3 linked regions of the Neodiprion lecontei genome follow. The protein of the gene in region 2 purifies or fractionates together with the protein of the main gene of each other region. This does not show direct contact. Links are inferred from orthologs where the notes say so. Each region holds a gene or a part of one and is shown on either strand. Other genes may lie near its edges.

Region 1 (8,884 bases), about 29 Mb from region 2:
AAAATTGCAGAAAAGTGTGTAACCCACAGCTGCCTAAAGCCAAAGAGTGCCTAAAGCAACTACTCGGTGTCTGAAATCTTGTCCAATTTCATCGGCGAATCAGAGAACGGAACAACTCCATTGTGAATGTTGTTGAAAATTTGGCTTGACGCGTCGCTCTGAACATAGGCATACTGGTCCTGCTCGCCGTAGGGTGGTTATGTTCAGAGCACAAACCGTCGACGTTAAATCCACGCCGAAAAATATCGCGTGAGCCGCGTAGAAAATAAAATGTCTTCTTCGCAGCTAATAGATACGAAGATTTACTCGAATAGTTCATAGGTAATATATTGGAAAGACTGCGGTGTTGTCGAGAGCGTGGGGTTTTCGTTTTCCGCATTTATTCATTACATTGCAAATTGCCATTTCATCGGAAAATCTGAAAGATAATCGGCAAGTCGATATTTACATCAAGCTCGTGTTACAGGTGCGAATACGATCGGACTGCTTATTTTTCAATACAAACACCGTTCGCCCTTACAGACAATAACGGGCGATAGTCGATAGATTATCGGAAAAAATATTTCGTCCCCCCACCGCGATTCGGCGCGTCTGGCCGTAGCAGAAACGAGGATTGAATTCAATTTTGGTATACAACAGTTCCGAGGGTTCGATGTTGTACGCATTTGGGTATGATTGAAGAAATACTCATGACAGAAAGTCGGAGAGAACTGGGAATATAAATAGCGTTCAACGCATTCTTAACTGGCACTTTAATCTTTACGACCCGCAGGAGGCGAGGCGAGGGTATGTCGTCAGACGTATACGGCCTCCCTGATTTCGGACGGCCGCGGCGCCAAAAACCTACCATAAATATTTCCAAACCAACTGCGAGTCTGCAGGCTATTACAGGTGTTGTAGCGTCGGAAAAATATATACCGTAGAGGGCCAAGTAGAGCCAAACACAAACAGGGTGTATATGTATATATACATATATATACATATATACATATATATATATATATATATATGTGGCATACGCGAGGAGAGAGAGAGAAAGAGAGAAAGAGAAATGAGTAGAACGATGAGAGAGCAGTAAGCGGCACCCGCGACGTCTTGTTATGATTAAGGGTGGAATTTAATGAAAGTACGACAATAGACGATAGTATATAATTTTTCCTCCGCGTCCGCAGGTATGTGTGCATGTATTTACACACATGTAGCCTTGCATTACGTTTTATGCGGGCACATTGAGGGCCGTTGTGGGGAAAGCCCTTGAGCCCCGAGTTGATTGTTGTTTGTGAAAATTAAAGCACGGAAATAGCGTGTTTGTGTCACGTTTCCGATTTTATATGTATACCTATCCTTATCGAAGTATAGATCTATTGAGGTATAATAATCAAGGCTTTGAGCTGGGTAGTTTGCAGCAAACAAATGCCTCGAGGAAAAATAATACAGTCAGGCGCATTGAAGAGTTGATTTTATGTGTATATGCGGTCTTGAAGGTTCTGACACACATCTAGGGGATATAGTTTCACCATTTATTATTGAAGTACACATGGCGATATGCACGTGACAATGGGAGAAACGTGTTCAATAATTCATCAAATCGACGCAAAATGCGGTCAATTTAATCGCGTGTGCATACGTGTGTACAATAATCCACCCAGTTCAGTAACAAACATTTACCTTTTTATATACATATAAACTGTTTTTCGAAAACCTTTGCGGAGATCTGATTTGTGATCACTACACAGTCTTTAGCTATTTTCGTTTTCTACTATAACTGAACAATATAGTTATAGATATAAAATGGAGATAAGTTTTGTAGCCGTAACCAGATGATCCAGTATGTATATTCTTTTGGATTATGCGGTCACTCATAATATATTTTTTTTGTTAGTATCGCGGTAATTTGATGCCGGTGCAACAATAAATTGAATGCAATCAAAAATGAGGCATACGCTACTGTAGTAACGATAAATAGTCATTTGTGCCACATTTTCTTGTGATTTCGACTGTAGTACTTCAACCCGCTGAAGTCGATTTCGGTGTCCAATCACCCATTGCCACCTTACAAGCGTTGTCCTTAAACTGTGACTTCCTTTGCATTAAGACTCGCGGTGTTTTATTAAATTGAAATATCGACTGCAGCCTTAACAGTCATATTTTCGAAACTCTAACGATTTCACTTCACTTATACTTGCGAGACGAAACATTGTTATTTAAATACGTTTTATTATCAAAAGAATTTACGGTTCGTTTACATCCAGGGTGGACCCGAACAGGATTCCTAAATATAATCGCCCTAAACCTTGTTTAACGATACCTATTTTATCAGAATTTTCTAGGAACTTCAATAAATTAATTTTTTACTCACAATCAGTGAAAAGAGAGTTAATTCGACAATAAAAAAAAGCAGAAATAGCAATTAACAATAATTACATGTAATCGCCATCCGCTTATAGTAGTATATATCGATGGTGATCGGATTTTTTAATATTCAAAAGAATTTTTTTTATATACTTGGAAAGGGGAAAGATGTCCTCCTCGGCTGCAGGGGAACGGGCTTATTGTCGGTCTGTAAAAGACCGCAGAGCGGTGTGGGTGAAAAATTTGCCTAATTCAAGGAAATCAGAAGATATTCTGCGAAATCCGCGAAACGGTCGAGGTTCCACGTTGGAGTATCTCGAAAATCAGTTCGACTCTCTCTCAGTCGCCGCATCAACCGTTCCCCGCATTTGAGTGGTGCCATCAACCGGAAGCGGTGGAATCAAAGGTTATTGATTCAGGCACTGAATTAGGTCTAAAAGGCCTTTCAACGTAGATTTCTTCATAAATGCACCGTCCCCCCACCGCTTTACAAACCCGTCGTTTCTCTCCTTGCCCTTCCCGTCGTTCGAACGCTGCTATGCCACGAGCTAGCTGACAGATAAACCCATCAAGGCTCGGGTTGCCTTGGCATCGCCGGAGAAACAAATCCAGGTATTGTATACAGGCATGCATGTATCCCGAAGAATTAACAGCTGTACACACCGAATCTCAAGTCAACCACACATACGAGCGCTCGTGCAGTAATCAGCCTGGCATAATACCTGAGCGTGGATCTCGTCCATGCGCCCCGCAGGCACATGGGGTACATAAACCTGTATCAACTATATAGCAGTGCATTTAACCACTTTGTGAAATAACCGTATATTTTAATGTGACGTAGCATTCGATACGTTGGGAAGGTGCGCGCGCCTCTCCCCCGTAGGGGTGGCCAGACCCGCGACACCGTCAGGCAGGGGTTGGTTGCCCAGTGGCGGGGGTGATTTCTGTAGGGAGCGCGCAGTGTTCGCGAGTACAGGGGAAATCGGCTGGTATAGCTGCGAGAAGGGTGCGCCCTACTTCGCGTCAGGGAACGAACGCTTGGGCAGCGCGTTGTTTGTATTTAAAAAAAAGAATCTTATCGCGACCAGTGAGTTGTGTCAGATCGAGACAAGTATCTAGTGAGAGTGCGAAGGAAACACTTGTCGTTTATGATTTAGACGAGTAATTTGTGTAGTCACTGTGGGAGATAAATCTCCATCGACGTTACGACGCTTGTTGTGATGATTTTCTTTCACAGTGTAGATGATAACGACAGTGCGCGGGACGTTTTATTACCTAGGAGACAGAATCACACGAGGCGTTGGTGCGTATGAGGTTCGATCGCTCTTCGCACCGTGAGTGAATTCAGTTTTGGTGCAGGGTGAAAAAGTTGGACGGGGCACACGGTATAAATATATCAGATACAGAGACGTAGGCGGACGGCGGACCCTTGGGAGCGAGACAATTCGCGAAGAGTTGTACTACATATACGACGATACGTGCGACGACACTTGGTTCTTCTCGAGTGTGTTATTCGGGGGTAAAGTGCTCGCCGGAATCACGGCTACTCAATAATAATGGAAGGAATTCTGTATTGTCCTTGTAAAATGTGACTGTCGGTGATTCGACTCGTACCGCGGGAGTCGGAAGGGATTTAATATAAGTTGAGTGAAAATGACTATCGCGAAAAGAATATTGGGCGCTGGGTTTGGTCGTGTGGTTGTAAAAGAGATGCCCCGGCTGGGTTAACGGTATGAAATTATCGTCGCGGGGTAACTGCGCGATAAAATAACGACAGTCATCATGAACTTTCTACAGATAATTTACTACGCCACAGCAATGTTCGTCGTTGGATCACTGGGGGAGAAGTGTTCGGACGATTGTTCTTGCAAATGGAAGAACGGGAAGCAGACGGTAGAATGCACGGATCGCTCCCTAACTACCATTCCCGGGTGGATCGATTCGGAGACTCAAGTGTTGGACATGAGTGGAAATAAAATTAAGGTCCTACCAAAGTACATTTTCAAACGATTAGGACTTACGAATCTGCAGCGGCTATACTTGCGCGGCTGTCACATTGACCGAATCGACAGCGAAGCTTTGGCCGGCTTGACTAATCTTGTCGAGTTGGACTTGAGCAACAACTTGCTCACGTCAATACCAAACACGAGTTTCGCCGACACGCAATTTCTGCGGGATTTAATACTGTCCCACAATCCAATACAAAAAGTACCGGCGAACGCTTTGAAGTACACCCCAAACCTCGTCAAGCTCGACATATCAAACTGCAAGATAAACGAGGTTGATTCGAAGGCCTTCGAGGGCCTGGGACTGCTGGAAAGCCTGAAACTGAACAACAACAAATTGGTCAACCTTCACCCGAGCATGTTCGAGTCGCTCGAGAAGCTGACCAGTATCGCTCTGCACGAGAACCCGTGGAAGTGCGACTGCCACTTGAGGGACATAAAAATCTGGCTCCTAAAACGGAACATCCCAACGCTCGTCGCCCCGGCATGTCGCGGGGGTCCCGATCAACTTCTTGACAAAATGTTCTCAGAACTATCAGTCGACGATTTCGCCTGCCGTCCAGTTCTCCTAGTCGTGACTCGTTACGCCGAGGCGACGATCGGGGAAAACGCGAGCATAGTTTGCCGGGTGAGCGCCGTACCACCGGCTCAAATAAAGTGGTACTGGAACGGCAGGATGCTCGCGAACCATTCGGCGTTCAGCAGTTTCCAGAAAATCCTGATATTCGAGGAGGGCCAATCGCGGAAGAAGAGCACCCTCGTCCTGACAAACGCCCAAGAGTCGGACTCGAGCGAGTTTTACTGCGTCGCCGAGAACCGGGCCGGCAGCGTGGAGGCCAATTTTACCCTTCACGTGTCGCTGAGAACGGCGGGAATGTCGACCCTGGGCTCGGGTCAAATAGCCGGAATCTCCGCGGCCCTCGTTGTGTTAATTCTTTTCATCCTGTTAATCATCCTCGTGTTGTTTATCCGTCTGAGGAGAATGCCTCTGAAGGAAATCAAGTCCTCCGGGGGCGCGCAGGACGGCGTTGCAGCAGGCAACGGCGTCGTCGAAGGCGGCGGCTCGTCGTCACGGAGAAAAACCGACAATGACGAGGCGACCTCGTTCGCCACGTTCGCCGAGGCGAAGCCGCCGGCATCCCTGAACCTGAACTACGTCCAGAAGCCGTACGCCTTCTCCGAGGACGATTACACCTTCGCCCGCTACACCGAGAGCCATGCGGCTTCCGGTCCCGGGCCGTGCTACTCGTCGACGACGTCGCTGATGCTCGTCGAGAACCCCGACCTTATTCGGGACACGCGGCGCGGTTCGGCCGACGAGACTAAACCCTTCACACCCGGCGGCTACAGCATAGAAGTAAAGAACAACAAGCTCCTATACTCGAACTGCATATGGGAGTCGAAAGAGGAGATTCCCGTCGGCGGGTACGTCGTCAAGGACATGCAATCGGCGATGACGGCTTCCGTGGACGCGGCGCAAGTCGCCTCGTCCGTTCCTCCGGGCGCTAAGCAGATCCGCGTTTGGCAGAAGGGCGTCCCGGTTTTGCCACCCGTTTCCGCCCTGAAGCGGGTCCTCGGTTCAACACGGAGCTCGCCCGACGAAGGATACCAGGAAGGCACAGGCACCGACGTCTAGGTACCGCTTCTTCATTACTGCGATGCCCGACACAGATACTTGGAGTTACGCAGACGGCACCAGGATGACTTATACGACTAATCAATGCCAAAGGACATTATTCATTCGTTATTTTGGCCATCGGTTTTCACGTGCCGGACGGGCAGTAGTGAACTTTATCAAAGTGGTACTCGAGACGTTGCGTTACACGGCCTTCGGCGAGGCTCAATTTTCTTGTGCGGTACAGAAGTTTCTTATACTTCGTTGTACCGAGGGTGATCAGAGATGCTGTGGGCTAAGCTCTCGCAGTCTTTAGTGAGACGTAGAGAAAAGCAAGACAATGTCATTGTTTCAGTGGTCTTATGGCACAATATTGACGGGTAATTTCTATACGGCAATGCCAAATATACAATTTATAAGTAAAGACTGTAAATGTTCCAAAAAATGTATAGTTAGCGAGGGTAAATTATTAAAGTCACATGTTGGTATATATAAATGGATTTTCTATATGGTCATATTTAATTAAAAAAAAAACACTAGACTAATCATCATATTCTTTTATACACTTCCTCTCTCGTTCACCTACACGAATCAAAATCTCATCACTTTGTTGTACAGTTCAACGTCTGGAAAATCGATGTCACCCAATCGACTTGATTTCGATACACACATCTCTTATCTGGGGTCAAATCTGGTCGTGGGTGAATAATTCGTCCTATGGTTGGAAGTACTAGTGTGGTATTAATGAGAAAGTTATACTTTTCATACGAAGTGTAGTCTTTCGCGTATACTTGTGTCTACGCTTTATGCCGTTGTGTCGTGCAAGCTCACTCAGCCTGTGTAAACAAACGATCATTCGGTTATTTGTGTTGTACTCCTATTTACCCAATTCTTTTCCAGAAAGTGTAACATATCGTTCATTTATCGAGTCACACTAAACATACGTTTGGTTTCACAGTTTTTCGAACTTTGATCACAAGTTTTTCACGGGTGCAACAACATTTCAAATTGAATACTATACCTAGCCCCATGTATTTGTATAAAATATTCTCAATCTCGAACGTAATAAATTAAAGTGTCATCTAAACTCTCCGTTCCGATCGTTTATGTAAAGCTCTTCTCTCGCGTGACACTGACGACTATATCAAAGTGAATTCTTACAGACATCATCCAGGTCACTAAATGCTACAGCAAAATGTGGAGCTTAAGAATTGATTGTCTTGGCCAGATTTCCAGTGCCCGGAAAACCCGCTAGTCAAGTCCTACTGCGTATATTTTTATTCGCAGTTGAACAATCCCCTGGAATCAGTGGCAGAGTGTATTTTATCGTCACCGCTCTCTTGTACTTTTAAGTCCTCACCGCTCCAAGTTTTGGTTTGAAGTGAGAGCCAAGCCAATAGACATGCAATGACGAGGATCTCGTGCCCGATTCGCCATTCGAACACACTCGAGCGTATTGAATTGAATATCTGGATTTCGATCCTCATTGCAGAGCCAACATATCAATCGATTACCAATTTTTCGCTCGCATTGGCCCAGCCTGAAATTTCGCCCCTTCCGTTCGAGGGAGTGTCTTGTTAAGCCATAACACTTGAAATTCCGGTTCGCCCCCCTCGGTCTTGCATTTTTTTCTCGTCTATTTCTCTCGCGATCAATTGGCTAGAATGATTGAGAGACCGTAGTGATTGACGCACGGCTGGGCATGTACACCAAGCCTCGCACGTTCCTCCCCCGCATCGTGACAAACTGGCGGTATACACAAACTTGACGGAGAACACATCACTGTCCAGGATGGGAATGGTGCCGTTTCTAAGCAGTTGATGTATTCATGATGTGCCGATGAAGCGCTATTTTGGGCCTTACAAATTTCGGTGAAAAATTAGGGAGTCTGATACATTTTTAACGTACGAAATTACAGGGTGTCCAGTAGTCCTGGAAATCCTTGAAGTCCTGAAAATATCCTCTGAATCATGACTCCTTGGAAACGTCCTGAAATTATTCTTCTGTCCTGGACATTCATACGATTACAATATTGTTCGATGATTTATTTCCTTATGAATTTATTTGCTCTTGTCTGTACTTTAATTTCCTATTAATTTCGTAAAATTTGAAATGCTTTAATGAATTCAGACATTCTAAGCTTGTTCCGAAGTAATTAGAGCCGTTATTACGCTTAACATTTTTCAGCTATCCCACGCAATTATTTTCTCTTCATAACTTGAGGGAGCTTCGAAAAAATAATATGCTATCGGTTCTAAAAACCTGCTGCGAGCTAAATGAAATCGATTCTCTTCAAAACCATATCTTATATACATCGATGCGCTTACACACAATTAAAACACTGTTGTTAAAATATGAATCTTATTGTTATGTATAAAAAATCGGTTCAAATAGAACAAGTTTTTTTTCACTACGGTCAACAAAAAAAGATTATACAGAGTTACATTCTGGAGGCTACTAGTCCTGGAAGTTCTATGTGTGGATGTTAGTGGACACTTCACAACAGAGGCGAGTCAGATTTTGCTATAAATATTTCTAATTTTTGGCAGCTGCACGTAACTCGTAGCTTTCGCGGTCATTATATCTACCTTGCTTGAAAATACTGTGCTCAAGTTTTAACTAAGAGAGTCGGGAAGGAGATTACAGAAGGCATATAATAATACAAGTGGCTAATTGCAAGTGTAAGGGTGTTGTTTGTTGAGCGTTAAAAACATACGAACACGCTAATCGGGGGCGCTTTACCCCATTGCGCGTAATGAAGTTTTTCTAATTATTAATCTTGTTACGAGCATCAAACACGACCGTGAGTGTGAATATATTTTTTATTAACGCGTTTTATATAGCCGGCACGTGGGTAATTTAATTAACGCGGTGCACTTGCGAAAGTGCGTACTCTATGCCGAGGTTCGAA
Region 2 (8,011 bases):
CGTGCTTTCCGCCCACTTCGTCGATACACAATAAGCTATACCCAAATCAAATGATAATCGAAAGGTACACGGCCTGAGAAATATTCGGCCGAGCTTCGTATGCGCTGACAGTTTAGCTTGGTATACAAAAATGAAAATACCGATATCATTACTGTTCACCTTTGTCAGACGCTTGTATAAAAATTGGATTTCCGTCCCTGCATTCGCTTAAGGGCATGACCGAATGATTAGCAGCAGGATAATAAACGGCAGCATACAGTTTGAGGGAATAAAACAAGTAACGAGGATCAATAGGGTTGGTCGCATAGGCAGATTTCGCGGTTTCTTCGGCAAGCGCAGGCATCGGCAAATTGTGACTGTCTTTTCACGAATCGCCCGACCAATCACAAAACATGGACTGATTAAACTGTAAATGGCCACGTATATATTCGTTCGTTATAAGGGAACAAGCGATTGCGTTGGATCATACGTGTTGAGACACCGAATTCGTATACATAACTGCGATGCTCTTATAACGAGGAGTGGTATTGATCATCGACACATTCACGCACGTGTGATTCTTGAGCTCTCCAGGTAGTAGTCGGTGAAAGTTCCGGCGTCGAATTTCTTGGAATCCTATTCCCCTTACCACCCTAACATACGTCTTACAACGAGGTTGCACTGTATGCGATAAAGAAAAACTTTCCTTTGAGATAATTTTGAAAAACCTTTCATCAAGAAGATGCGAAACAAAGTATCTTTCAAGGACGCAACAGAATATGTAACTTGATAACTTTGTGGAGAAAGAATGAACGCAATGCCAACCTTCTCAAGTCATTATTGGAAAGTAAAAATGTATGGAGTTTTCACGGCCATATAATGCATTTCCCTAATAAGTAAACCTCATCAACCGGAAGACCTTGATTACTTCAGAATTGTTCTATTTATTTCTAGTAGCGAATAACAAATCGAAATCAAAAAACATGTAGCCTCAGTTGAATTATTAATATCATGTTATAGTACAATGTACATTTTCTAGCTTCGATTCAAGGTTTCGTGAGGCCTTCAGCGCGAAAAGTTGTGTAGTAAAGCGAAGCTGCCGTTGTTTATCAACGCGTGTACACGCCGCGCGCCGCCTCTATGTCGTTTCAGCCGGAGCGGCTACTGCATTACACCCTGTGAGATCAAAGTAAAAGCAACACGAACGTTGATAGTTCCTTTCGCCACTCTTGTCAATATTCCTCTTAATTTTCATGAAGAGGGTAAAACAAAACTCACAAGGCCAAATAAGTGTAACGTTTTTAAGTTGATAGTTTCTCAAGCATAAGCCGTATTATACACCGCACAGTAGCTATATTTATTAATGCCTGCATCAATTCTTTACATCCAAGTGTAGATGTAGAAAATCGGGTTCCGGCCGTAGGCCAGTAAAATGAACACAGCTCATGTGTGTAAAGTCACTTCTGGTTACCCACGTACACATGTGTACGCATAAGAAGGTGATTCTAAAACGAACTGCGATACTAGCCTAATCGTCGATCAGTATCTTGTATAAGATATCAGTTCCGTTTCAGCATCAACCCCTGCACGTGTACTTGGATAAGTTATAAGTTTATTGAAGATTTATGAGCACAGAAAAGATAAATAAAAATAATCTGCTCGCTTGTTGATTCGATTCATAGCATATTTTCCAAACAATACTGGCACAGAGACGATTGAGAATGTAACAGATTTATTTCGACCTCTTTATTTAGCACGCTGATCCGTTGTGAGGGTGAAAAGCTGGGGAAGAGGGGGGGGTATACAACTGGTAAGTTGAAGAAAAATAGGAAAAGCTAAGGAGTTCAGAACTGAAATGTACCGCAGACAAGGAACAAATAACGGCGTGTGGAATGTGCTTTGTTCGTCGATCTCTCTCCGTATTGCCTTTCAGGCATCTCCGGGTCTTGGTCGCTCTCGCGCAATCTCACCTCGCCGGACGGCTCTGGGACTGTGAGGTTGCGAGGCTGCAGGACCAGCTCGTGTCTGGCTCCGAGTACGTGAGCCTTTCTCTGGATATTAACTCTACCAGAAGTACCGGACGGCGGTTTATTGTGAACCTTGATCACCTCAGCCACCCAGTTCAACCTTGAACGGTAATATTGCTTGTATTCGTATTATAACAACTGTTTGCCTTCAGAGCCTACGTCGTAAGACTCTATGTGCTCTGAGTATTCTTCTCTCGATAAAATAATACAAGCGTGGAGCGCTACCTCGGACGGGCGCATTTCACGTCGATTCGATCAATGGTTAGGAACGGTGCGTGGAATCCCCGTACACGTGCATCATCCCCACACACATACGGAGCAAGGATTTGTTGACTTTTCCAAGTATGGCAGTCAGATATGGCGCAAGAAATATTTATTTCATTCGTGTGAATGTCATTTGTTTCAACAGAAAGGTGGCTACAACAATAACTTGTGTTATCGTATCAAACCACTCTTATTTGAATTAACCAAACATTTTTTACGCCATATATTCATACAAACTGACTGCAGTTTTAAAAAATTTTCTGCTACGTACCGTGGTATTCTTGTAGCAATCGTGGCAACACGGAAGGAACTCTCATTCCTCATCTCTATCATTCAAGGTTTCGGATGCAAATTGATTGAAATCGAACGCTTCTAGGAGTCAACCTAATTTTCTTACTCAATTGCTGCTTGCATTGGTACAAAAGTTACAACACTTTCATTGTTTTCGACCAAATCTTTCAACGCTCCGTTGTCACACTTCCGGGGAATCCCGCCGGTGTTGCTTTGGGTCAAATTGACCCCATATCGGATTTCAGAACGCTGTTACATGCAAACTATCATTCTGGTTTGAAACAAAAAATTGGGAGAAATACTTTGAACATTCTAAAATAAGAATTCATTGCTGTTTTAGGAGAAATAGAATGGCGACACGTTAAAAAAAAATTCACAAAGTCATAAGTTTGCAAAAAGAGGTTCTTCGTATAAAAAATTGTAAGTTTTTCAATTTTTAATATTTTTTCCGCAATATTATTGCGTGACACTCTCGAAACGGGCTACGCAATGGGGGAAAGAAATAGCTTGTTAGTGTACAATTCACAAAGCATATTCATTCTGACCCATGAAGCTGATCACGATGTTCCGTAAGCACCTGTCGCATGAACACATTTTGGTATGTGTGCACTGGTAGGCAGATACGGACAGCCTTTGAGTAGAACCACCAAATTATCGGTAGGTGGCAGAGAAGGATCCATTTTCACCCTTTCAGTTACAGATATTTAGTCCCAAAGTCCAAAGATTCAGTGTGACAACGAAAGGTTGAACAAGACTCAGCATGGAACCTGTCAAATGACAAACTATATTTGTTTGTATTTGCTGGACACCTAAAGCCATACAGGCAAATTGATTGAATTTAAATTTTAAACATGTAGTTCAAAAAAGGCACCAAGTTTCACAAGTTCTAAATTTTTTAGGATAATTCCTAATACTGGTAGTCATTTTAGTGTACAACGAATTACGCAATAGCCATCAGATTATGTTAATTACCAAAGTTTTATTGGCTGATTGAACACGGACGGTTTCGACCATTTCGATAAATTGTTCAAGGGTTTTCCAACTACAGGATTCTAAATCCGAATGATCAGCCCCAATAATACACAGTTAACCGTAATAATAAATTATTCTTCCCTTTTACAGGTTAATCAAAAATACAGAACACTGAATATATGCCAAGAATCAAGGAAAACATAGAAGTCAAATGCGTTACTAGAAATATATTCAGGGTTAGAAACATGTCAAGGTCAAAGTACAGTGACGGAGCAGGATTGCTTAAGAATTTCACTTTTCTGGCTCGTTAGGGCTTGGAACTCAGTGTTGTCAGCTGAAAAATGGAAAAATTATTATTTTGACATCAGAATTGGAAGAAATGCATGCAACGCTTGTGGAGTACATCTCTGCGAGTTGAGGTATACTCTTCCGCGTGTCTTCATTCTACAATATAGCAGGTCAAAAGTCTTGGACCGTGTAGAATCATGCCCAAGTAATAACGCTTTCGGATCACTCTATCTGAAATTTATTTGATATATATATATATATATATATATATATATATATATATATATATACACACACGTATATCTAACATGAGACCTCGAACATTCTCACGGACGTACCATCGTCAAAATCGTAATACACCTAACGATGAGACGACCTAACGCTGTTAAATCACTGTGTTACTATATGCCCTATTGATAACCTTAAAATGTAATGATTTGGACTGCCGGAATCGTCGTGAAGATTTTGTCAAGTACCAACTATTCTTTCGCGAGAAGAGTTGCCAAGGTGCGGTAAATCAAATTATAGAATAAGCTCGGATCAGATCGGGATGTTGTCTCACTTTTTCCTTTCACAAACTCAGAATTGAGTTCTGCGGAAGCATATCGATGCGAGAAGACAACCACCAACAATATCAGTGCTGCGCCGAGGAGACGACTGTACGTTGACGGCGAATTGAGCTCGATGCGATGCAGACTTGACATGGTGAGCGTTCATGCCCTCCACGGATCCGTGGACTCTGTCAAGGTGACCTTGAGGGATGCCACGGAGACTGGCCTCGGAAGCACGGCTTTCGGACACGCGTCAAGAAAGTCGAATGCGTTTCGAACGAACGTTGCGGTTTCCATCGCGCCCAATTCACCAAGTCTGGCACATGCCAGAATGGATGACTTCTTTCTAAAACATGTAATAAAGTTAATTAGTCAATGTGAACATCGCTGGTCTCGAGAAAAAATTCAAATTAACATTTTTAATACGTATAAGTATACTACGTATGTGGACATAATATAATATCCGATGCGTGTTTTCAATACAGGCATGAGTACAGCACGCAGAGGAAGGTTCAGATATGATGTCACCGGTACTTTCGTTACATTATTTAAATACAAGAAATACCCTCTTCACTACTATTTAGTTGTACGACGGTAACGTGTGGTTTTGTCAGAATATTAGATCATAATCGTAAGCCCCTCGTAAAAATCGCTTTCTGATAAACTTCCAGTGCTGGTATTCGCTTGCTTTCTTAATATCTTGGAGTGAAAGACATATAATCACTCTTTAGAGTGACTCTATGCACTCCATGCGTTTCGACTGGAAAAGTTCACTCTTAAAGAGTGAATATTTACTCAATCATCCGAATTGCGCTGTTTTCACTCCTAGGAAATTTGGAAAGTATTCAACCAATTCCTCATTTGTTTATTTTTTGAATAATTTGGCCTATTCTTTCCTGGCGCTTCTCTGGTCCGTACCCCAGCCCCGCAGACAATGTTTTAATATTCGAACGGAGGCTCTGTATGATGATCGCATCTTACCACATCTTCCGGATAGCATGTAATTCTGTGCGATTTCATCACAGCAACGACAGTAGGTGACGGCGACGTGGCATATTCTGTAACTGCAACGCTAGCCTTAGCCGAGCGGGTAAGCTATCCGTAATAAAAAATGTTCGAGAATGTTTCCCAATGGTTCTCCTCCTGAATCCATGTGTGCACAACATGCATGGGTACATGTTTTAGGAGTTGGCGAAAGAACGGTTTTTGCCACAAATTCCCCTTCCATCTCCTCTGTTAGAGGGCAATTTGGTTTTCTTGTACTCCTTAACCTTTTCTCATCGTCCTTCGATCAACTTAGCGATCTACCCGTCCACCTAGCTACCTGCCTTTCTACCAATATATTCGTTCATCCATCTATCCATCTTTCCATTTTTCGATGCACCTAACCATCTATCCACACATCTACGGATATACTATCCGCGTAGGTATACAGGTCCCTATGCTCGTTGTCAGTGTTCTTGAAGATTGTAAAAACAATCGGACGGACGTTGTTATCAACGATATCAATGCATAAGTGACGATGTTGACTCAGTTGACACGGTTCTCGCCGTGAGCCCGTGATAATTTTTTTTTTATTACAGAGGATTGCTTAAAAAAGCTCGCTTCAACGTAATCCAACGTCGTAAATAAGGGAGCCTGAAATTGCCCGGGTCCCAGGACTGTGGCAACTGGATGTTAACGATTTTACGATTTAACAAGGCGGAAAGGAGTCTACGTAATTCAAGTGCTGCGCTAATACAGCGATTCGTACTGAGCTTTCCTAATTCGAACTTGATTGTGGTTTCGATGCAAATTATTATGATGGAACGAAGACTACTTTATTTTAGACATTAGGGATGGTCTATAGCTCGACAGCTCCGCGGGATCTTATTATTTATTATCGGCATCACGAATCTTGGTCCTTTTACTATAAAAAAGATGTTTCTCTTACCGCGGCCAGGCTGGATTTCGACGTCATTATACGCCTATGCCAACGCCAATTTCATTTAAATAACTGTTCGCAGAATATTGAGTTACAGGAAAGTCCTTCTCTCTTTCCTCAACGGCACGGATAGACATTGGTATAACGGTGATGGTGCCACAAATATCAATTATGCACAGAAATGATGCGCGTGGCTGTTGAGCTTTGCCGATTAGAATTCGATTGAAAATTCATCGAAGCAAGCAAATGTGAAGTTTCGAAAGTACCCGCACCGCCGTGCCATCCAAAATTCGTTCTCTGTATACGGTTCTTGAACTGGATATCACTGGGCCGTATTTATTTTAGCAAATCTAGGCATCTCTTAGATGCGAGATTTAGGTATCTGGTTGAGATATGTTTCATAACATCAAGGCCCGGGTGTATGAGATTTCATGTACAATAAGTTAGGAACAATCGGAGCGGGCACCAGTCGGCTGTAAATATGAATAAAACAAACGGTTATCGGCGTATTTCCGTGATATCCGGTGGTGCATCGCTATACCGAGTCTGCTCTAAATGAAAATTGTGAGCATAGCTAACGATAAGTTGGGTTCAACACCTACATCTTGGCTCTTTAGATGACGCAATCTTTTTCTTTTGCAATTGTACCATACTGCGTCTCCACTTCATCTCTATCCACAGTAAGCAGAATACTGAATTCAGAATCTATATTGGAATTGCACTGACTCTTTGACATCCGATGCTACTTTTCACTGTGCCGATTACGACAGGTAAGCTATTATCTCCACTTCAACTATAACGATGCGGTTTTGGACGGTTCAGCAACTGCAGCATCGTCATCACTTGGTCATCATTTGTTTCACGCGTTGTATTAGCTCAATTGAGCTCGGGACCATAATATCTTTCGATAATGGCGCCCGCACCTTTTGCGTGTTGTTCCCGTCGGCTTCTACAAAATAAACGACTGATTCGTCTCTGAATGAATCCATTTTGAATTTCGCAAACAAGTGGGGTTTAATTTCTGATGAATTCTCTATCCCGGCATCCGATGTTATTTATTACAAGTTTCTATAATATGCGTAATTGCGGTGTGATGTATCAATTCGGCGAACAGCGACACAATTCTAATCTGATTAACATCTTTATCCCGTTCCCCGTCTCCGACCGCGTTCAGATATAAGGGATGCCGTTATGGGAAGTTGGCATAAAATTTAGGTCGGAAGATGCGATTATTTGGCAAGTATTCATTCTTTGCAATACGACGATATGGGAAACCGTTACTACTGTTGAGAGGTTTTGGTTAATTGGCGTGAAAGGCCGCACAGTCTGAATCTACTTTTGGAGTAAGAATGTACGCAGGGTGACGGAACACGAATTCACTAATGGCCGATCTGGACGCCAGGATGGATAATATTTCATCGCGATCTCGTCGCCGTATAACTACCTACGTTCGTAAAGATCACCCCCACGTTAACTTGTACCGTGACGTCAAAACCCTTTCAGCGTTGTAACTTTCATTTCGCGAACATCTTTCGCTCCATCTAAGTCGAGTCAGCTGGCATGGCCTCGGTGATGTCATCGTTGCAGCGTACTCTGCCACGATTTCCGATCTCCGACCAACACCCACTCATGGGACGCCCACGTTCGACGTCAACTATGTTATATACACCGTTCAGTCGAAAATGTTCACCGCAATGTGCTATTAACGACTAAGT
Region 3 (7,998 bases), on a different chromosome or scaffold from region 2:
AAATCATAAGAAATATGTCATCGTCAAGCGGGATAAAATTTTCGAAATAGGTAATAAATATTTAGTATATCAAAGGCAACGTATCCAAAGACAAGTAATGCTATAAATACACATCCGAGAAAAGGGGAAAAGGTATGGATAACAGACGTAAGTGATAAATTTATAAAGATAAATGAGAGAAGTAGATCTGAGATTGCGTTCTTTGTGTATGATAAAAAGACGACAAAGAAGCACCCGAAACGATCTATAAATTATAAAAAATTAGTTGGTAATTTAAACAATTACCTAGGAGTGATACTGCGTAACGTAAGTCGATGGGAAGAGTCCCCGTCTGCTGCCAATCTCTCCGTGCCACCAATGCTGGTCAGTGCGATCTGTAACTGTGATGACGTCGCCTCGTCTGAATTCAAGTTCTCCGGGTTCCTGGGGTGCAAAATCATAGAGCGCCTGGACCAAGCACTGCAATAACAAGAAAAGTCAAATGAAGACGGAACGTCGATGATAACTTTGTAGTAAATTCTTCCGATACTTTTCACTTCTGGAAGTTAATACTTCTCATTGATTAATTGGAGTGATTTTAGGATCGATATGTGTATAAATAAAACGGAACAACCATTTCGCAGCATATTGTTAATTTTCCTCACCTCCTCTGGTTTCATATCAAGCAATTTCACGTCCTGAGAACGAGATACTGATGCGGTGCGATGATATTCGACGAGCTCGTTAAGACTGTTGAATTTGACTACCCAAAGGAAGAACTTGCCTTGCGCGTCTCTGAGGACTTTGAAATGCTGAACGCCATCCGAGCATCTGTGGAATTGAAATAATGTCTCGATCCGAAGCTATGCATAAGCGTTTAAATGGTTAAATATCTTCGAGTATTATTGTAAACTATGAGAGGTAAAAATCATACAAATACCGCAAATCTTTGTTTTAACAACTTTTAAAGTTAGACATTTTTCGAACGATGGAACGAATATTTGTACAAAACTTACTTGACTGATAGGGAAAAATCACCGGGAGAACTCTCGCTGATTCTGATAAGAAACGCACCTTCGCGTTTGTTCATCAAAAGCCTTTCCGCATCTGCTCTTGTTATTCTCCCGTAATACCAGCTGCGTACAGGGAACAAAAATAGAAAAGTCAAGTTCTGGTTCTCTCTTTTTTTTCCCTTGTTTCAAACATATCCTTAATTTGTTATCTTAGGCACTTTCAAGTCAGCATCGCCTTTTTCATATAGCTTTGGCTTTGGCTTGGGTCAACAATGGAATGAAACTCATTAAGAAAGAAATACGCCGTCAAACTTACTCGTGATTCTTCATCTCAATGTAATTGCTCGGTATCAAGCCTTCCCTAGAGTCCAATTCTGCTCTGTACCAATTCATGTCGTCTTCCATGTTTAAAATCTAATAAATAGAGAAAGTTAAATCAGTTATTTATAAAATCAAAGGAACAGTGTATTTTGTGCGTTGTTCTTTTGAGATGATGAAAATAAAGAGATTGGAAAATTGAATATGTATGTAAAGGTAAATCCCCAGCTATAAAAAATGACCGATTTTTTTTTCAATTTTCCGTCATTGCTGCTCTTGTCTTCCTATTGATAACGGAGCCAGCTGCATGCTGGTCAGTGTGGTAATAATACATGCTGCGCAAGTATACATGTATGAATAATCGCAGCTTCCACCACCAAAGTAGCAGCAGCAAACCGAACCAAGGTCGTAAGATTAATGAGTTTCGTTTGCAGGAAAGGAGGAGCGAAACTGATATCAACATAACGATAAGCAGGTGGTATTTAAATACCCTATTGATTAGGACAAAAGATAAAAGAAAAAAGGAACGCCAGAGCATACGGGTATTTAAAATGATATTTTCGTGTAGTAATGTATGCAGCGGTTGTTAAAGGAGGAAACTTATCTTAGACGATAATAGATGCCAAAGTTTCAGACAAAAATATCTGTTTGTATACTAATTATTGTTATTCGTCTTCTTCATTTTTTTTTCCTCCTCTGTAATGTGACAATAATTTGTGAATGATCTTGAATTCTTTAGTATGAAATGTCATTTCTAGAATATAACTTATCAATTGCGAAAATTAATTATTAACAATAAATTCTATGGATCGATTTAACGGGATAACAAACAGGGATGTCTGACCTTTCATTAGGAATAGGAAAAGGAATGAACTTTAAAATTTTGAAAATCGGATATCCGCGAAAAAAAAGTTTCTATCTCCAGTTTTCCTTTCAATCTTTATTTTAATTTCATAACGAAATACAATTTAATTTCTCAACATGGACAAGAAATTTTGCGTCATTGTACGACTTGAAATGTACTATTTTTAGGACGTATAGAATGCATGTTACTACACTGCACATACATTTCTAGTCATTCCCTTAGAGTTGCTAAATTTCTCCACAAAAATGGCGCCACTTGCAGCCACTTATAGAATTTTTTATAAATGTGTTGACATTTTCCAACCGATTTACTTTCGTAAATCCGTTACAATATCAACGCCCGTTACATAACTTTCGATGCGTTGCTTTTTTCACAAGTTTGATCGTTTCATCGAAAATTTGCGGATGGGATCGTGGTTCGTTGGTTGGTCGCTGTTCCTAAAAAAACGCGAAATCATCTAGACGAGGAAGAACCGCAGAGGCTCTGTTTTCCTTCATACCTACGTGGGTATCTATCCACGTTTCTCGCATGGTTTCATGAAAATTTATAAATAGGTATAAGAGCGAAGATCGAGTATAGTTTTGCCCAAGCAGAAAATAGCTATGGCATAACTTGGACACGATATTCAGCTCGTGTCAGAGTCAGTCTCAGAAGTCTCAAGACTCAGTTCCCTGCATACGTGCTTATGTACAATATTCTCGATTTCTGGTTTCGTCATAGACTCTTACGACAATGTAGTTACGCGTAGGAGAAACACGATACTCCGAAAACAATGACAAACTTCCACAAATAATATTCATTCCGATGTCGAAATAATATACAATAATCATCAAATGTATACAAAGTAAGAACGATTAACGTATGCGCAACAAAACGTCGTCGTTTCGTTTCTTTCATAGAAATTCTTTATGTTAAATGTACAAATATATTTCACTTGACGCTTCGCTGTCATAAAATATTCAGCAGCTTTTTTTTTTTTTTTATTATTTTGGTACTAACGATCTTTTAAACGATCGAGAAGCATAGATAGCGCGATCACCGAAGAAAGGAAACTTATGCCAATAAAATATTGGCGAGTTTCCTTTCTCTGCTTCTTCTCCTTCTTTTTTTTTTTTTTTTTGTTAATAAAATAAAATTCGAAAGACTCAGATGGATATACCTATAAGCAAGATTCCAAGAAAGTTTTCATGATTGGCTAAATGAATTCAGAAAGGCGATTGGTATCGAATTTTCTCGATTCATGAACCTGCAACCAAAGCGCAAATCAGGGATGAAAGAATTGATATTACACAAAATTGATGAACGCAATGAAAAATTAAGGGTGTAGGCGATGATAAAAAAAAACTAGCCAACTTATTAACAAGGAATAAAAATTCTTTTGCCATACGTAGAGACAATTGTATTACGAAATGTCATATTGTTAGATTGCAAAATCCCGAAACGCGATAAAATCCTCCTCCACCATCCGTAGTGCGGATCAGTGAGATCGAAGAGCGAACACACAGGTGCATGCATACACACATACGTATGTGTATTTCTATATTTGGTGATTGGGAGAATGGCGCTGATGATATGAAAGAATTCGTTACTGCTTTTTGCGGGTGTATGCGCGTGTGCGTGTCCCGTTTTGCTTGTCCCGTGTTGATATCGTTCTTCCTCCTTTCCTTTAGTTTTATCAAATAGACGATGACAGGGCGATGGGTGAAATAGAATAAAAAAAAAAAAAAAAAACGTAGGGAAAAAGCGTGGAACACATTGTAACGTTGTTGAGTCGAACAGGCGATCGTTCGTCATTTGTTTCTATTTTATTTATTTTAATTTTTTTCTTCATTTCTTCTCTTCTCTTCTCTTCCCTCCATACAATCACCGCTGCTATTCTTTTCACCTCGGTTATCTAGGAAACATGTTCCGCATATGCGCGCTGTCCCCCGTTTACATACATCACACGTATGGTATAAGTATAGATAAGATAAGAAGCGTGTTATTTGCGCTTAATTTACAGCGCGAGGCGTAAGAAATGGGATAAATATTGCCATGGCACGATCAGGGATTATACAGGATCCGTCTAGGACGACACATGTGGGTATGCATAAGTAAATAGACACATTGTGTGAAGAGGAATGGATAAACGACGAGATGACGAGAGCGGTGGTGGGCGGGGAAGGGCGGCGAGGAGAGGGTGAGCCGTACCAACCTTCAATACTTGACTCCTACGAAAGCTGAGCTCGTCATCGGCCGTCGCATTGAAATCGTGTTTCGCTATCGCCTCCATGGTGATGATTCACTCTCTTTATCCGAATCTATTTATCCAAGTTGAATCCTGGCAAATCCGTTATATTTGTTATATTTCGCCGAAGAATTTATGCGTGCGATATCAATCGTTCTCCTGCTCCTCCTCCTCGTCCTCGTCCTCCTCCACGTCCTCGTCGTCGTCGTCTTCGTCGTCGTCACGGGTTCTCGGTTAGGTAGGTAATAAACGAACGTCTCTCCCTTGGCACGAACCAGCCTTGAACAACGTCCACCTCGACACAAAGTTCAAACGACCCAATTGAAGAGTAGTTTTTCCTCTTCTTTCCTTTCGTATGTCACACGCAGTGTGACTGGGTATAATAAGCCTATGGGTACCACGTATCGCCGTATGTAATGAGGAAAAAAAAATCACAGCTGCGGATCTACTCCGTGGATGGTGATCGGCCGTTCGTTCGCCTCTCGACGCCCGTCGGTCGCCTTTCGATATATATATATATATATTATCTTTTTTTTTCTTTCACCTCTGATATAGCCTGTTGAGAGAAGAACAACTTAAACTGCACAGTATACAACATACACCACCAGTTGATAATAATCGGACACGTAGATTTTGTGACAGTAACGAAAAACCGCAGCTGGGTTCTTTATTTTGCTTGTTGTTTTTTTATTTTTGATTTTTTATTATTTTTCTTTTCCTTCTCTCGTTCCTTCTCTTTGTACCTCTAAACTTGTTGTGTTGGTGTTGTTAAACTCTTGTTCCTTTTCTTTATCGTTCCTCTTTTGTTTTCGAAACGTTTTACTTATGCACCGAGACGCGTATCTATGTCACGTTCGCGTTTGTATGGTTTAAACAACACACTGTGAACGATATCTGTTTCCTCTCGATCGAAACACGAGTGCCAGGAGCCAGTAGTAGTATTAGTAGCGGTAGCGAAACGCGATACTAGCAGAAACGGAACCCGTAATCTTTCATTATAATTTCGGTCGGTTGTCTTCTTGCGGCAAGAAAATTAGATAATAATGTTCGCCGCGTTAATTGCTCCTTATTAATCGGAACGAACTTTTATTGGTAAACCGTTAAAACTGTCATCAGTTCACGACGACCACCGCAATTGCATACTTCGAGGAATTATAACCCATTGCTTTAAGCTTACGCTTATCAGCCGCCGTCGGTCGCCACTGACCGCTGCTGCACCTCCTGCCTTCTCCTGGGGATCCCGGTTAGCGACGGTGCTGCCACCGCGTCGTTTCACGTCGGTACTAAAACAGCCCGACGATATTTTGGGGCCTGGTAATTTTCACCCGATAGTTTATCCCACCTATCGCTTATCAAGTCGTATTCCCATTGACTACCCCAGACGTTTTGCAGGGTTATTGTAATTGCGGAAAATCCGTTCGAGTACATTTCTACGCGGCAACATGAACGCCATTTTTTTTTCTCATTTTACCTCTGGGACTACTTCGCGACCGCGGAATACGCGACATGCGCAGTCGGCAACAACTCGGTTGTACAGCTCGAGGAAAAGCCTGTCGACTGCTGTCGTCATTCGGCAGAGCCAGGCACGTTTCTTTTCATGAAACACGAACAACCGCCTATCCTCTGCGTCGATGCATGTATGTATGTACATACAAACAAATAAACGCGCATGCGTATAGGTTTAGCGAGTGGAAGTTTACATTCGTAGAAATGATGGATGAACTGTAATAAAATACGGTGTTAAAAATTAATAGAGAAATATTTGTTCATTTACAATGAATTTTGAACCATAAGATCGATTTGAAATTCGCAACTGTATATTAGTATCGTTGATGCACAGGTAGGTATAGATAGGTGTAATTAGCATATAGGTGTATACGTACACCTTGTTCGAGCTGATTATTCCGGCCAGAGACAATGACGAAAATTTACGCGTTACAACATGTATACACATACGTATATCTATACATGTACGCATATTATGAATTATTCAGTATCCGGATAATAAATTATCGGTTAAACTGTTGACCTGTCGTATTTATTCTTCCTTGCGATATCCTCCATGGCCACGGTGTGAAACCTGCGTGCATATCTCTGGTAACGGTAATTTCCCAAATAAGAGAAAAAGATAAATTTTTGTGCGTGAATCATATGTGGCGGTCACTGATCCATTCCGCCGGAAGGTCGAAAGCATCGGACGTCGCCTGTCTGCCGGCGTAGAACGAAACTCATCGACGAAATTGAACATACCATAATAAGGGACTAATAGGAGTTTGAAAATCGAGTGTGATTGATAGGTCGTACCCAGCTAAAATAACCGATTCGTACCATTTTGCTTTGAATCGGGATCGTTTCGAGAATTAAAGAAGGACTCATTCTGATAAATGTATTATATTTGTATTGTGTTACGTTGTATTATTACTGCGCAGCTTTATTAACCAATGTATCCGGGAAACGCTACCCACATACGATGCTGCATACGATAGAGAGATGAAAGAGTTTTCACATACTGCCCAACGCATGTCCAACGACTGTACGATGATGAAAAGAGTGAGACAGAATGAGAACTGTGTTTATTTCAAGTGGGATATATAGCTATATATGGTGGACGATGATGGTTGGGTTCAGTTCCTCTACTTGAACTCGGCTAAGTCTATCATTGTCAAGCAACATCGTCCACTGCGCATGCTTGTACATCCCTTAAGGATCCACCAAAGAGGAACGAAAAATAGAAGAAAGAAGCACGACGGCCCTACAGTTCGCACGTAGTTTCTGCCCTTTTCGATGCAGGTCGCTCTCCGGTTATGTATACCTGCGTACAGGTATAATACATGCATGCATGCACGTCTCTTCGAAAAGAAGATGAAAGGTACTTAAATGCGATCCCCGGACAAACGGGCGGCCCCTGCCACGAGAAGAGCGGGATAGGGAAGGGCTGCAAGGAGAGAGAAGAAGACGGGACGAGTCTGAGAAAAACCGCGGGCTTGAGCACGGGAGATGAAGAGATAGAGAGACGCTCGACGACGGGGAAAGTACGGACCGCACAGCGCGAGAAAAACCACAGCTGGAGTCTGATTCTGTCGCCGTCGTGGCTACGGAGAAAATCAACAATGGAGAATCTTTTCATTTCATTAGTTTTGTTCAACACCAAAATAATGATGCGACTGATAATGATAATGTTTGATACTTGACCCTAGTCACTTACACGGGGTCGAGTTGATCCTAGAACCGACTTTAACGTACAATTTTGAAATCAGCGTGCTTGAATCAGGGTTGCTTGTGCAAGTAAAATGAAGGATGAAACAACTTTTCACTCTCAGAGACCCCATCTATGTATTGCGTATCGTTTTACTTTTTTTGCTTCAAGAATTTCTCCCACATCCTCCATGGTTTTTTGCTAAAACTAACAATAAGATCGGAATCGATTTCTGAATTTTTAAATTTTGTCTCAGAATTTTGTTCAACTCATAACTGTGCATAACTTAATGTTGCGCACAGTAAAAACGTTCCAAAGTTGGCTGGGGTTTGAGTAACCCCGTGTAAGTAATGTGGAAGTTTCCATAGGTGTAAGCGACTAGGGTTAATTATACGGAATG

What was found.
Region 1: the proteins of epidermal growth factor receptor (region 2) and leucine-rich repeat, immunoglobulin-like domain and transmembrane domain-containing protein 2 purify together in Drosophila melanogaster (affinity purification with western blotting; 5 studies listed by BioGRID). This does not show direct contact. The link is inferred for Neodiprion lecontei from reciprocal best matches to the Drosophila melanogaster genes Egfr and kek1.
Region 3: the proteins of epidermal growth factor receptor (region 2) and growth factor receptor-bound protein 2 purify together in Drosophila melanogaster (affinity purification with western blotting; 4 studies listed by BioGRID, with this or other methods). This does not show direct contact. The link is inferred for Neodiprion lecontei from reciprocal best matches to the Drosophila melanogaster genes Egfr and drk.

Annotation. Positions count from the first base shown.
Region 1 is NC_060261.1:14,886,258-14,895,141, reverse strand, and holds leucine-rich repeat, immunoglobulin-like domain and transmembrane domain-containing protein 2, read left to right. Parts: upstream 1-3,275; 5' UTR 3,276-4,134; coding exon 4,135-5,994; 3' UTR 5,995-6,482; downstream 6,483-8,884.
Region 2 is NC_060261.1:44,219,927-44,227,937, reverse strand, and holds the start of epidermal growth factor receptor, read right to left. Parts: upstream 4,384-8,011; intron 4,053-4,383; 5' UTR 3,534-4,052; intron 3,329-3,533; 5' UTR 3,107-3,328; intron 2,940-3,106; exon of another isoform or gene 2,833-2,939; 5' UTR 2,604-2,832; coding exon 2,542-2,603; intron 2,424-2,541; coding exon 2,232-2,423; intron 2,107-2,231; coding exon 1,841-2,106; intron 1-1,840. UniProt on the Drosophila melanogaster protein: Receptor tyrosine kinase, binding ligands of the EGF family and activating several signaling cascades to convert extracellular cues into appropriate cellular responses. Known ligands include spitz, gurken, vein and giant-lens.
Region 3 is NC_060266.1:3,271,485-3,279,482, reverse strand, and holds the start of growth factor receptor-bound protein 2, read right to left. Parts: upstream 4,903-7,998; 5' UTR 4,448-4,902; coding exon 4,370-4,447; intron 1,407-4,369; coding exon 1,309-1,406; intron 1,116-1,308; coding exon 996-1,115; intron 811-995; coding exon 645-810; intron 460-644; coding exon 286-459; intron 1-285.